Mus musculus: one gene and its partners. The protein of the gene in region 3 interacts with the protein of the main gene of each other region in a pairwise test. Links are inferred from orthologs where the notes say so. Each region holds a gene or a part of one and is shown on either strand. Other genes may lie near its edges. The genes, in order: Zbtb32, Mgat5b and Pitx1.

Region 1 (3,744 bases), on a different chromosome or scaffold from region 3:
GAAAAGATCCTGGAAACAGAGTGAAGTAGGGGCCCTGCTAAGGCTGGACTCCTGGAGCCCAGCCACTGGGCAAAAGCCCTGTGTGGAATACTGAGGGGCTTACCTGGAGTGGGGCTAGAGGAAGCCAGCTGATTCTGACTCCAGAGAGCTTTGGAGTGGTTCAAGGTCAGTGGGATCCTGGGTGGAGAAGAATTACAGTCTTGGCAAAGCCTGAGAACCTAACTGACTCTGGCCTGTCTTGTGATGACAATATTTGTTGTCTCTAACTCAGGAAATGTACACTGAACCCTTCCAACCATCACTGCTGCCTCTCCGGAGCCACTCCCTCCCTGCCTAGATGTCCTCCTTTAAGCCTCTCACTCACCTCTGATCTTGAGGCCGGACCTGCCAGGCCGCAGTGATGGGGGTACTATGGGAGAAGGGAGCACCGTATCTGGAGGGCCACAACAAGATGCTCCACAAGGCCGACTGGCCCTCCCCCAACCTAGGGACTTCAGCCCACCAGGGCCTGGGAATGAGGCTAGTTAGGAGGGAACCTGGTGGGGAAAGGGGATCAGGGCACCCACGAAGACTCTCCTCAGAGCCCTTGTGGCTCTCGATACCTCGCATGACCTCCTCTGAGCTCATCATCCTAGTTGCTCCTGCCATCTCAGGCCTCTCTCCGGGTGCTTTATGCTTGTGTGACATCTCCTGTTCTCTCCCATTACTTCTAAAATCCTTCTCTGGCTTCTGTTTCTCTCCAGGACTCCCAAGTCCTCTCTCAGAGCCCCTCATGAAGTCTTCTGATTGCTGGTGCCTCTTCAGTCCTGGATCCAGCTCATCTTCATCCTTGCCCTTTTGAGCTCTCTGACAGGCCTCTTCCAAGGCCTGTACCCCCAAGGCTTTGGCTGCCTCTTCAAGGTCCCCCAGCTCCCCAGGCTGTAGCTCTATACTCTCTCCATAGACAAAGGTCAGAATCTGAGCAAAGGTGGAAGGGCTTATGTCTTCAACCAGAGCCCACCGGCCCCTGCAGCCAAGCCTTGGGCTTGCACCTGCCAGCACTAGGCTGTGAGCCGGGAACTCCAGGCCCCCTACTGTGATCAGGGTATCACACAGTGCTGGCCGGAGTCTAGCCGCTAACTGTACCAACCTATCAGAGCCATATGGGCTGATTAGTCTTGTGGGGGTCTGGGGCATTGTTCCTGGCTAATCTACCAGTTTCACAGGCTCTGAGAGGAAAGCCACAATGGGGGATCCATGATTGAAGTGGGAGAGAAACCGCATACTCTCTGGCCTGTGAAGGGGAAGGGAGAAAGAGTGAGTGTCTGGGCTCAGATTGGTGCTGTCTGTCCTGAATGAATCAAATAAACTAAGCCAAAGGCCAGCTGTGGGGATGCCACACTAGGAGAATGCACACTGGGCCAGAGGTTAGGTTTGGGGCCTGAAGAACGACAGCCAGGCAGTTAGCAGAGGTATCAGATAGTGGGTTTAGGGCTGGTATAGTTAGCAAACACCCAGCTTAAGGAAGGTTTGGCTTCCCCAGGCTCTTTTGCAGGGAAAGCCTCTGAACAGCCTGGCCTTTTCCACACTTTGCATCAAACCTGGCATTTATGAATGGAGGAAGATGCGACCTCATGAGAGAGCTCAGACAGCTTTTGGGTCCTCCCCCAACATGAGCCCAGAAAGCCAGAGAAGGCATCAAGACAGCTCACATGGCAGGACAAAAGACTCTTAAGGCGTCACACAATTGTCTCTGCAAGACTGAAGCTTCTAGAATACACCCTCTGAGAAGGGATTGGAAAAGAGCAGAGATCTCCATCCAGTGGGTTAAGGGAGTCACACAAGAGTTTTAGAGAAGGCTTTGATGCCTGAGGAAGTGAAAGAAAGGAAAAAGAGACTGGGGAAAGGGAAGCTACTTCCTCTCACAAGGAGGATAAAGAATGGTTGAGTTCTGTTTTTCATAAGCCAAAAGACTAAGACTCAGAAAGTGCTCAACAAGTCAAGACTTTAATCACACATCAAAACCATCATGACACAGAGAGAGATAGCCTGCGAGTCTTAGCATCCTGCAGGCCTAGCTCGGTGTGGACCCTCCATGAGTAAGCAGCATGGTGGGGGAGGCAGAGAGAGGAATGAGGAACTACTTAGACACCTTGGAGTGAGGGATGCAGGGTGGCAGGAAGTAGAAAGAAGGTTGGAATGGAGGAAAAGCACAGCTGGGGAGAGGGATGGTAACTCACCTCTGTAGCTGCCTCCTAGTACCGCATGCTCACTACTGCTCCTGGGGTTCCTGCCCACCTACCCCCAGTTAGCTCCACCCCGTCCTCAGTCATCCCAAGTATTAGTCTGCCACAGTCCCCTAGAGGGGTGTGGCTTACTGTCTCTGCTTAGGACCTATAAGAGAGGCTACAGATCTACTTTTAACAACCCGGACTGCCTTGCCTCCTCAGTCTAATTCACTTGTGAGTTCTGTAGAGTCAAAGATGTGAACCTGTGGTGACAGGGACTTTGGGATAGTCAAGAGTTGAAGCCTCATCTCTGCCATTTACTAGTTGAGTCACCTTGGGCACGTCATCCCTCCCTCAGTCACCTCATGCATCAAGTGTCATGGTCTCGTCCAGAGGTGGGGGTGAAAATGAAGTGCCATGCATGAGGAAGCAGTCTGTGAGCACAACACAGCATTCAGCTGCTATTAGTTCTACATCCTGGAGGTGGCCATAGCAAGGAGTAGCTGGAAAAGCACTTGTGATACCTCAGAAGTGTAAGCATAGAAACACAGAATGGGAAGCAGCAGGCAGAGGAAAAGCCAAGGCTCCTCCTTTCCCTGGCTTAGTTCATCAGGCCCCCCTTCCTCTATGAGACTGACCCTTGTCCTCTGGACCACAGCAAAGACTAGGTGTGTGTGACTCAGATCCTCCCAGCAGACTCTGAGGGGGGCAACCCCAGGAAGCCTGTGGTGGTCTTCGAAGAGAAAAATCTCCTTTTCTTGGGCTGATGACAAATGACATTTCTCTGAAATCAAAACCAGGGGTTTCTTTCATTTTCTGCTCAAGGGGTCAAGGTCCCTAGAGATTTCCACCTCTTTTGACACCTTTAGCGCCCCCCCCCCATATGTCTTCTTCCTGTGTAGCTCAGGCTGGTCTTGAAATCTCTATCATCCTGTCTCAGCCAGTGCCACCACGCCCAGTTTTGATACTCTTTAAATTGAGGAAGGGATAAAAAGCCTTTGAAACTCAAATTTGTTTGTTTCCTTTTAATTTATTTTACTTATGTTTTGTTTTTTACCATTCTACCAATCTGATCCTAAGCTGCTCTTCTCATTCATGGCAGGTGTCTAATCTGTCATACATATGGAGTAAATACGGAGAGGAGAGACAGGCCAGACATTGGCTGGGCTGCTGTGGTGCCAGAATGAGCTGAGTCCCCTGAGGTTTCTCCCTAGCTTCTGGCCCCTCCTCGAGCCAATAACGAACAGTCAGATCTGTTTTTCCCCCTTGGCTCCAGGACTCCAAGATGTTCAGTCCAGCCTTCTATTACTCTATCCCTCCAGACCTAGGATGCCTTCCCTCCGATTCTAGCTTGGGTGCAGGCAGGTGGCGACCCTCCTAGATCAGACAGGGTGTGTCGGTGGGTGAGGCTGGTGAAGGGTTAGTAGGGTGGAGATAGGGGAAGATGAGTCAGAGCGAAAGGGAAAATGCAAATGGAACCCTGTGTTCATCTGCTCCTCTGAATGTTAAATATTTTCCACTTCTGAGCTTTCTAATT
Region 2 (3,644 bases), on a different chromosome or scaffold from region 3:
CCTGAGTCAATGAGACTGGCCCACGAGACAAAATTCAAAGTACAGGTTTCCTGGATGGCTGAGGGCAGGTATAGCTGGGCAGATGTCCTTGGTAATAGTCTCTATCTGAAGTGGATGGCCACAGCACAGTGGGTCATTTTGTTCCCATACCTCATAACTGCATTAGTACATATCTAGAAGCACATCTAAAAGATGTACCCTGGTATATATCCAACGCCACACAAGAAATATAACAAATAAAGTAAGAGAGAGCTTAGCTATGTCTGCATCTAACAGATGAGCGATAAAAACATTACCCCAATTAGACATTAGACAAGACACACACACACACAAACAACACCCACAAACACACAAACAACACCCACACACAAACAGCACACACACAAAACCACACATACACACACACACACACACACACACACACACATACACACACACACACACACACACACACACACTCCTATCTGCCAGTACTCCTCTGTCTGTCTACCTATCTGACTTTGTCTCTCTGTCGCTGTCTGTCTCTGATTCTATCTGTCTGTCTCCCTCTCTCACACACGTACGCGAGCACACACACACACACACACACACACACACTCACTCACTCCAGTTCCTTTGCATTCCACATGTTCTTACTCTCCAGACAACCCCTACCCCCATTCTCACACACAAACAATCTTTTAGACCCTCTTCACCACCACACACAGGGTGGGGGTGTGTCTATGTTCCACAGTTCCAGAAGGACCTGGACAAGCCCAGCACTGGCAGTCAGCATCACTGTCAACCCTAATGCCCTTGTAGAATGCCCAAGGAGTCCAGCTCCTAAAAACACCCCCTGAAGACTATGCCCATCCTACCAGGAAGACCCTCGGGGCAGGGACCTCATGTGGACATGGTGACTCCTCTCTCAAAACATTATGCATTAGCCTATGAGCACAGACCCAAACCCTAGTCTCTTGGCAAAGGCCAAGAGCCTGCAGACTGCTGCTATGCAAACACGCTTCCTCTGTGGATTCTAAATACAAACGTGTGTCTGCATGGAAGAGGAAGCGGGAAGCACATAAGCAAGTGGAGGAGGGAACGGGGAGTACCGGCATCTGACAGAGGGCCACCTCCAGGCTGTGGGCCCCAAAGGCAGAGCATCAGCCCGGTGGCCAGGCTGCCCTTCATCCCCTCCCTACCCCACCAGGATGTGAAGGCTCTCTGGCACTCACCTCTGCAGCTCCTTCAGGGAGACTGTGATCCGCAGGCTATGGCCCAGCACGTAGAGAGCAGCCAGGATGTCTGCCCACTGTACCATCTCTCCCAGAGGCCCGCCCTTCAGTACCCTTGGGCTGAACACGTCCCCAGACTCCTCTGTCAGGAAGCCAATGTGGACAAGGATCTGGGTGAGCAGGACAGAGGGGGCGGGGGGTCAGAGGAGAGCAGCAAGCAGCTCGTAGGTCTGTATACCCCAGCCCAGGATCACCCCACAGCATAGCACACAGGGGCTCCAGGCCAGGCCTGGTTGACTGCCTTTAGACCCTAGATGTTGGAGCCGTAGGTGTTGGTGGGTGTGCGACTGCCTCGTGGAGCTCACCTTGCAGATGAAAGAATGGACAGCAGTACACACAGACAAGACAGAGTTTTATGAATGACAAGGACTCCGACAGAAAGGAGGTGACAAGCATGCGGTTCTCTGTTACGTGAATAAAAGAATGGATGGACATATGGACAAACGGATGGACAGACAGATGGACAGTTGGGCCAACAATCCTTCCTCAGTCTGTTATTCCCGGACCCCTTTAACCTTTCTGCCTGACACGATGAAAATGTCCCAAGGACATAGGACCTCCAGGGGCTGATCATGCTGGCCCAGCCTGAGAAGGGGCCAGGGGCTCAACCCTGTCACCCTCATGTCCTGTGACTGAATCCAGTTAAAAGAAACTAATGTCACTGGTTCAAAGACATGCACCATGCCCAGCCAGAATTCCCTGTCTACCTGTGACCTCCTGAAACCCTGTGCCTGTTGGGAACCACAGGCTCATGGCTACTTAGAACTGTGTCTACTTGGAACTTCATGGCCACGCCCACCTGGTGCCTCATGCCCACCTGGAGATCCATTCCCACCTGGTGTCTCATGCCTACCTGGAAACCCATGCCCATCTGGAGCCCACTCTCCACCTGGAGGCCCACTCCCACCTGGAGGCCCACTCCCACCTGGAGGCCCACTCCCACCTGGAGACCCAATCCCACCTGGAGCCCACTCCCACCTGGAGGTCCACTCCCACCTGGAGACCCAATCCCACCTGGAGACCCACTCCCACCTGGAGGCCCACTTCCACCTGGAGGTCCACTCCCACCTGGAGACCCAATCCTACCTGGAGGCCCACTCCCACCTGGAGGCCCACTCCCACCTGGAGACCTACTCCCACCTGGAGGCCTATTTCCACCTGGAGTTCCACGCCCTCCTAGAGCCCCAGTGCAGTAAGCACATTGTCCAAGCACTCCCTGAAAGGATAACATACTTGCTTCTGGTCCCTCCGAATGTCCCCCAGCTTCTGTGCCAGGTACTTGGCAGCCTTGGTCCACTGTGCGGTGAACCGCCTGGTTCGCTTCTTCATGAAGATGAGGGACTCCTTCCCACTGCCCATCAGCTCCAGGAGGTGGGACAGGTTGCTTCGGAACACAGCCTAAGTTGGGACCACAGGCCAGCTCTCTCAGTCCCTGACCATCCATCCCATCACCGTCCCATCCCCGGCTTCCCATGACAGAAGCTGCCACCTACTGTAAGGTGGGTGCCTGCTTCAGCATCAGGGTGGGAGGCTCTGCTTGCACCTTCCAATACTCACTCTAGCCCTCCTCCCCAGTTAACCACCCACCCCTGAGTCCTCTGGGGACCCAATCAGCCCTGAATCACCAGGGGTGAGCTGCCTTTGAGTGGTGCTAAGGTCAGTGGTGCCTGGAACCTGTTAACTCTCTAAGTCCATGAATCTTCACCCATTACATCTACTCACAGAAGGACAAATACAGTGCCATGCACTCAGAAAGCCCTGGGTACATGACAGCTATTATTGCTGTTATTCTAACCCATTAAGGACTTCTCCGGGGACGTCTCTTGCCTCCCAAGCAAGTTCCCTGTACTGGATTCCACAGAAGATGATCTGGGGATCCTCAGCCTGCAGAGCTGGGAGCCCCATTCCATGGGGTCAGGTGGGGGGGGGGTGGGAGTGAGGCTCCCTCCCACTGTCCCTAAGGATATCCAATCTAGGCCTACCTGGACTCTGGGAAGGGACTTGGGGGCTGTCCGGGCAGCTGTCTGGTTCCTCCAGGGCAACGGGGGACAGAACCACTCAACCTCACTGAGGTAGATGAGGAAGGAGCACTCAGTGCCGTCTACTCCAAAGAAGGCGTAGCAGGGGTCAGAGGTCCAGCGGGCGCGCATCCACTGTGAAAAACATCAGGCCTGGGTAGGCAGCCAGGAACCCACACACCACCGCATGGACTCCCCTAGCCACAGGGTCCCCAAGATCTCGCCGTGAGGCCTGCCCCAACCTAAAGATGCAGCAGAACGCTAGAGACATACAACTGGGAGAGAGAGGCTGGGCCAAGGTCAGCCAGCCCTCGACAACTGAGGACCAGAAAAGGAGGTAAGTCAGCTTCCC
Region 3 (3,744 bases):
GCGTGCCACAGCAAAGAGCCCGGGAGCCACATCTGGGCCTGGGTTCCCAGCTAGGCAGGGCCTGCTTCTGCAGCTCGCTGGCTGCGGCCCTGCTGAGACTCTTGAAGGTCTAAATCTGAGCGGACACCTCAGCTTTCCTGAACGGGCATCAAAACTTTCCAGCTGAAGCTAGCATATCTGTGGGGTAAGAGCCATGTAGTCGCCTGGAATGTTGTTCTTGCCAGGGCTGTGTCAGAGCCGCAACTTAGCTTGGATCCCAGCCTTACCGGCCTCGGATTCTGAGGTCTAGAAAACCCTCCATTTGCAGCCTAGACAGACATATTCTGTCTAAGTGACCCGGGCCTCTCTGTCTCTTTAAAGCTACTCAAGATGCACACAGTAGTCAATAGCATTCAAACATAACGCAAAGGAACTACAAACCAAAACGGAGCCCTAGAAAAGCTCAGAGCTCTCTCCCTAGAAACAGAAAGGTGCACAAACCCTCAGAGCCAGGGAGGCAGAACCGGAGCAAATGTAGATCAAGAAGTCAAAACCGTTCCTGTGAACACACCCCTAAACTAAACACACAGCCAAATGTGTATAAACTCCAGTCAGATGGCCATTTCTCTGGGAAAAAGAATCTATGCATCACTGCAGGTAAATTTTAGATTCCCTCACACAAACACTGGGAGAGATACTTTCCAAACCCTAGATAAATACATTACAGCGAGATGATTTAAATTCACAAAATAAAACTGCTACGAATGGATTTTGATGGGGGGGGGGGGAATCTCAAAGAAATGCGCCATTTTGAATTGACTTTTAAAAAATCTCTCCAAGTAACTTGTGGCATGTAGGTTCTTTTAAATTTCAGAGAAATACTCCTAGTGAATTGTGTCAAAGGAAGCATACAGTTAAAATTGTTAATTTATCCCTGTAGATTTGATTTGAAAATCAATCTCTACAGGTTTTTTTTTTTTAAGCAAACACCACGCTTAAAACTTCTAAAAACAAAAGTACACTCAGAGCTTTGTTTTCTAACCAAGCAAACAGAGGTTGGAAAAAAGTCACTTAGAGATGCAAAACAGAAACAAATACCGATTAAATAAACGTGGAAGAGATGCCCAGGGCCCGGGATGGCTGTCCCAGGCAGCCTGGAGATCTGTGACTATTTGGGGTTGGGACCCCCCTCCCGTGCACAGCCGCTCCAAGACAGGACAGGCCTGGAAACGGACATGGCCGAAGCCACCCAATCTCGGGCCCAGCTCAAGAGATCGGGGTTGTTTTGTTTTGTTTTGTTTTTTAAAAGACAACTGGGGGATTTGTGGAGTCGAGAACCCACCCTGGCTGGACCCCTGGTGGCTCTGGGCTGAGGTGTCCACGTGGGCCAGGATCCCCGCTGCAGCAGGGTTCTGCCGGCTCTGCCGGGAGTCAGGCCGCGCCTCCTAGCTGGCTGGCTCTCGCTGTCCCCAGAGCTCGAGCTCGGCTTTACGGACCCCTCTCTTCTAGCCTGCTCTGTGACCCCACCTCTTCTTTTAGGATTCTTTCCTCCATCTGTCAAGGTGTCTCTTTGGGCACTTTGTCTGGCCACCCCTTCTACTCCCTGCACATCTGCTTCTCGCCCTGAGCCCCAGCGACTCCTCAGCAACCAGTTAGGGAAAACTCAACTTTTTTCTCCCGCGTGCTATCTGCTCCTGCTCCAGAGGGGCTGCCAGTCCCACTCAGGGCTTGGCGTGTGGGGGACTGTTTGGAAGTGACTTCGCGTGTGCGTGCGAACGCGCGTGTAAATTTCCGTGTTCATCGTCAGGTTAAGACCAGGGAGGAAAAAGAAAGCTCCTCGCTGCAGAGACGCAGAGGGGACCCGGCTGCGTGCCAAGCCGCCCGGTGTGCGCGGAGGCTGGATGCCCGCCGCGGGTTGGGGGAGCCGCGTTTACCTGGCAGATCAGCGTCGGACGATTCGCTGGCGGAGTTCTCCAGCGGCTCCCGGGGGTCGGCGGCGCGGGCCAGGTGGAAGCTGGGCCCCATGTCGTGCGGTGGTGGTGGCGGTGGCCGCAGCCCCTCCGGTAGCCTCTCCAGGCTCATGCCTCCCTTGAAGGCGTCCATGGAGGTGGGGACCGCAACGGGCGCTCCAGGGGCCGGGGCTGGGAGCTCCCGGCCGCCCAGGCTGCGACCTGTTGGGGACAAGAGAGTGGCGCCTAAGCGGCTGCCCCCCAGGGCTGCCCGCGCCCACAGCGACGCCGTTCGAGCTCCATCGACCTCTCCAGGCTGCGGGACCGGGTTCGGGGCTCGGGGCTCCGCCACGCGCTCCTGCTGCTCCGGCCTCAGCTGCCCGGCCGGCCCGGGCCCCAGTCCCGATTCGAGGCCGGTTTCTAAGGCTCGGGTCGGAGCCCGCAGAGTCTGTCTGAAAACGACAGTGCGCGCAGCCAGGTTCCAGCAGTCCCTGCGCCAGGGGTGGTGGGTGGGGTGGGCCTCGGTGGGAGGGGGCTGGGAGAGAAGGAGGGAGGGCGCGAGCGAGTGAGCAAGCGAGCGAGGGAGCGGGCGCGGGCGGAATCCAGCCTCGAGCCGCCCGCGCCGCGCCCTCCCCGCCGTCCTCCCTCCCTCCCTCTCTCCCTCCCTCCCTCCTGGCCTCGCCCGCGCCCTCCCCGTCGCAGCCACCTTCCCGCCGCCTCACCTCCCCCCCTCTCCCGCGGCCTCACCGCGCCTCTCCCTCCTTCCCCGGTGACACACGAATTTCTCCCTTGGCCGCACAAAAGAAACGCATCTGGCCAGCTAGCCCCGGGCGGCTGGTGCACACCTTGGGGGCCCCAAGTGACTTGTTTCGCTGAGAGTCAACTCCTGTCTGGGCCACCTCAAGTCCCCAGCCACGGGAGAGAACAACTTAGAATGAGTGAAGGTTCGCTGAGCAGGATCGCTCTGAGCCGGCGCCTCCGAGCCAGCGCCAGGGCAGTCAGTGGCAGAGCCGGGGGGCCGGTTCCCGGTTGCTGCAGCTCCCAGCGGTGGTGTCGTCCTCGAGGGGCAGACGGGCCCCTCCTACCTCAGTCGCTTCTCCCAGGAACTCGGGGCCGGCTGAGTGACAGCAGCCTGCGAGCTCTAATGGGCCCCGGATGCTGTCTTCTAATTAGTTTGGACCCTCTCCCCTAAGGCTGCTCTCATGGCCTTCCTCTCTGCACCGCAGTCAATTTTCCGGAATTGGGGTAGAGATGACGGCTTCTAATCAGACGAAACGTTTCTGTTGGCTCTAGGCCATGGCGAGTGGGACTGGAGACCCCAAGAGCCCCACCAGGCCCGTGGCCTTTCCACATCCCCCTTTGTTTTGCACCTACAATGATCAGGTCTTTGGCAGCCACCAGGTAGGCCTTGCCAGCCTCTGCCCTCCTTTAGGGTAACTTTGCTCCAGTGTGGGGCCTACTTTCTGAATTCTCAGGGCTTCAGCAGAGGCCTGGTAGGCCAGGTGACTGATGTCTCACAACCCTGGGCTGGGAGCTTAGGAAGCCTTTGGGTTTTCTCCCGATACACTGCTAGGAAACTGTAGCTCCAGAGCTCCCCCCTCCCCAAGCAAAGACTTTACCCTCTAGGCTCACAAGAGTGGTCCCCTCCTTAGCTCCTCACGCTCCAATGAAGTTTGTCCAAGGATTTTATCCAACAATTGTTAACTGGCCCAGGGACTTCAGCTTCTTGAGTAAACAGGTCACAACTGAGGTGGCCCTGACCTGCCTCTGTAGCCACGGAGGACCCCTAGGCTGTCTCTGGGCCTCACCTGCAGAC

The links.
Region 1: the proteins of Pitx1 (region 3) and Zbtb32 interact in a two-hybrid assay, tested with the Homo sapiens proteins (2 studies listed by BioGRID). The link is inferred for Mus musculus from reciprocal best matches to the Homo sapiens genes PITX1 and ZBTB32.
Region 2: the proteins of Pitx1 (region 3) and Mgat5b interact in a two-hybrid assay, tested with the Homo sapiens proteins (2 studies listed by BioGRID). The link is inferred for Mus musculus from reciprocal best matches to the Homo sapiens genes PITX1 and MGAT5B.

The regions. Positions count from the first base shown.
Region 1 is NC_000073.6:30,590,693-30,594,436, forward strand, and holds the start of Zbtb32 (zinc finger and BTB domain-containing protein 32), read right to left. Parts: upstream 2,251-3,744; 5' UTR 2,220-2,250; exon of another isoform or gene 1,274-2,219; 5' UTR 1,177-1,273; coding exon 365-1,176; intron 178-364; coding exon 104-177; intron 10-103; coding exon 1-9. UniProt on the Homo sapiens protein: DNA-binding protein that binds to the to a 5'-TGTACAGTGT-3' core sequence. May function as a transcriptional transactivator and transcriptional repressor. Probably exerts its repressor effect by preventing GATA3 from binding to DNA.
Region 2 is NC_000077.6:116,946,255-116,949,898, reverse strand, and holds part of Mgat5b (alpha-1,6-mannosylglycoprotein 6-beta-N-acetylglucosaminyltransferase B), read right to left. Parts: intron 3,428-3,644; coding exon 3,257-3,427; intron 2,673-3,256; coding exon 2,508-2,672; intron 1,385-2,507; coding exon 1,215-1,384; intron 1-1,214. UniProt on the Homo sapiens protein: Glycosyltransferase that acts on alpha-linked mannose of N-glycans and O-mannosyl glycans.
Region 3 is NC_000079.6:55,828,859-55,832,602, forward strand, and holds the start of Pitx1 (pituitary homeobox 1), read right to left. Parts: upstream 2,568-3,744; 5' UTR 2,083-2,567; coding exon 1,914-2,082; intron 1-1,913. UniProt on the Homo sapiens protein: Sequence-specific transcription factor that binds gene promoters and activates their transcription. May play a role in the development of anterior structures, and in particular, the brain and facies and in specifying the identity or structure of hindlimb.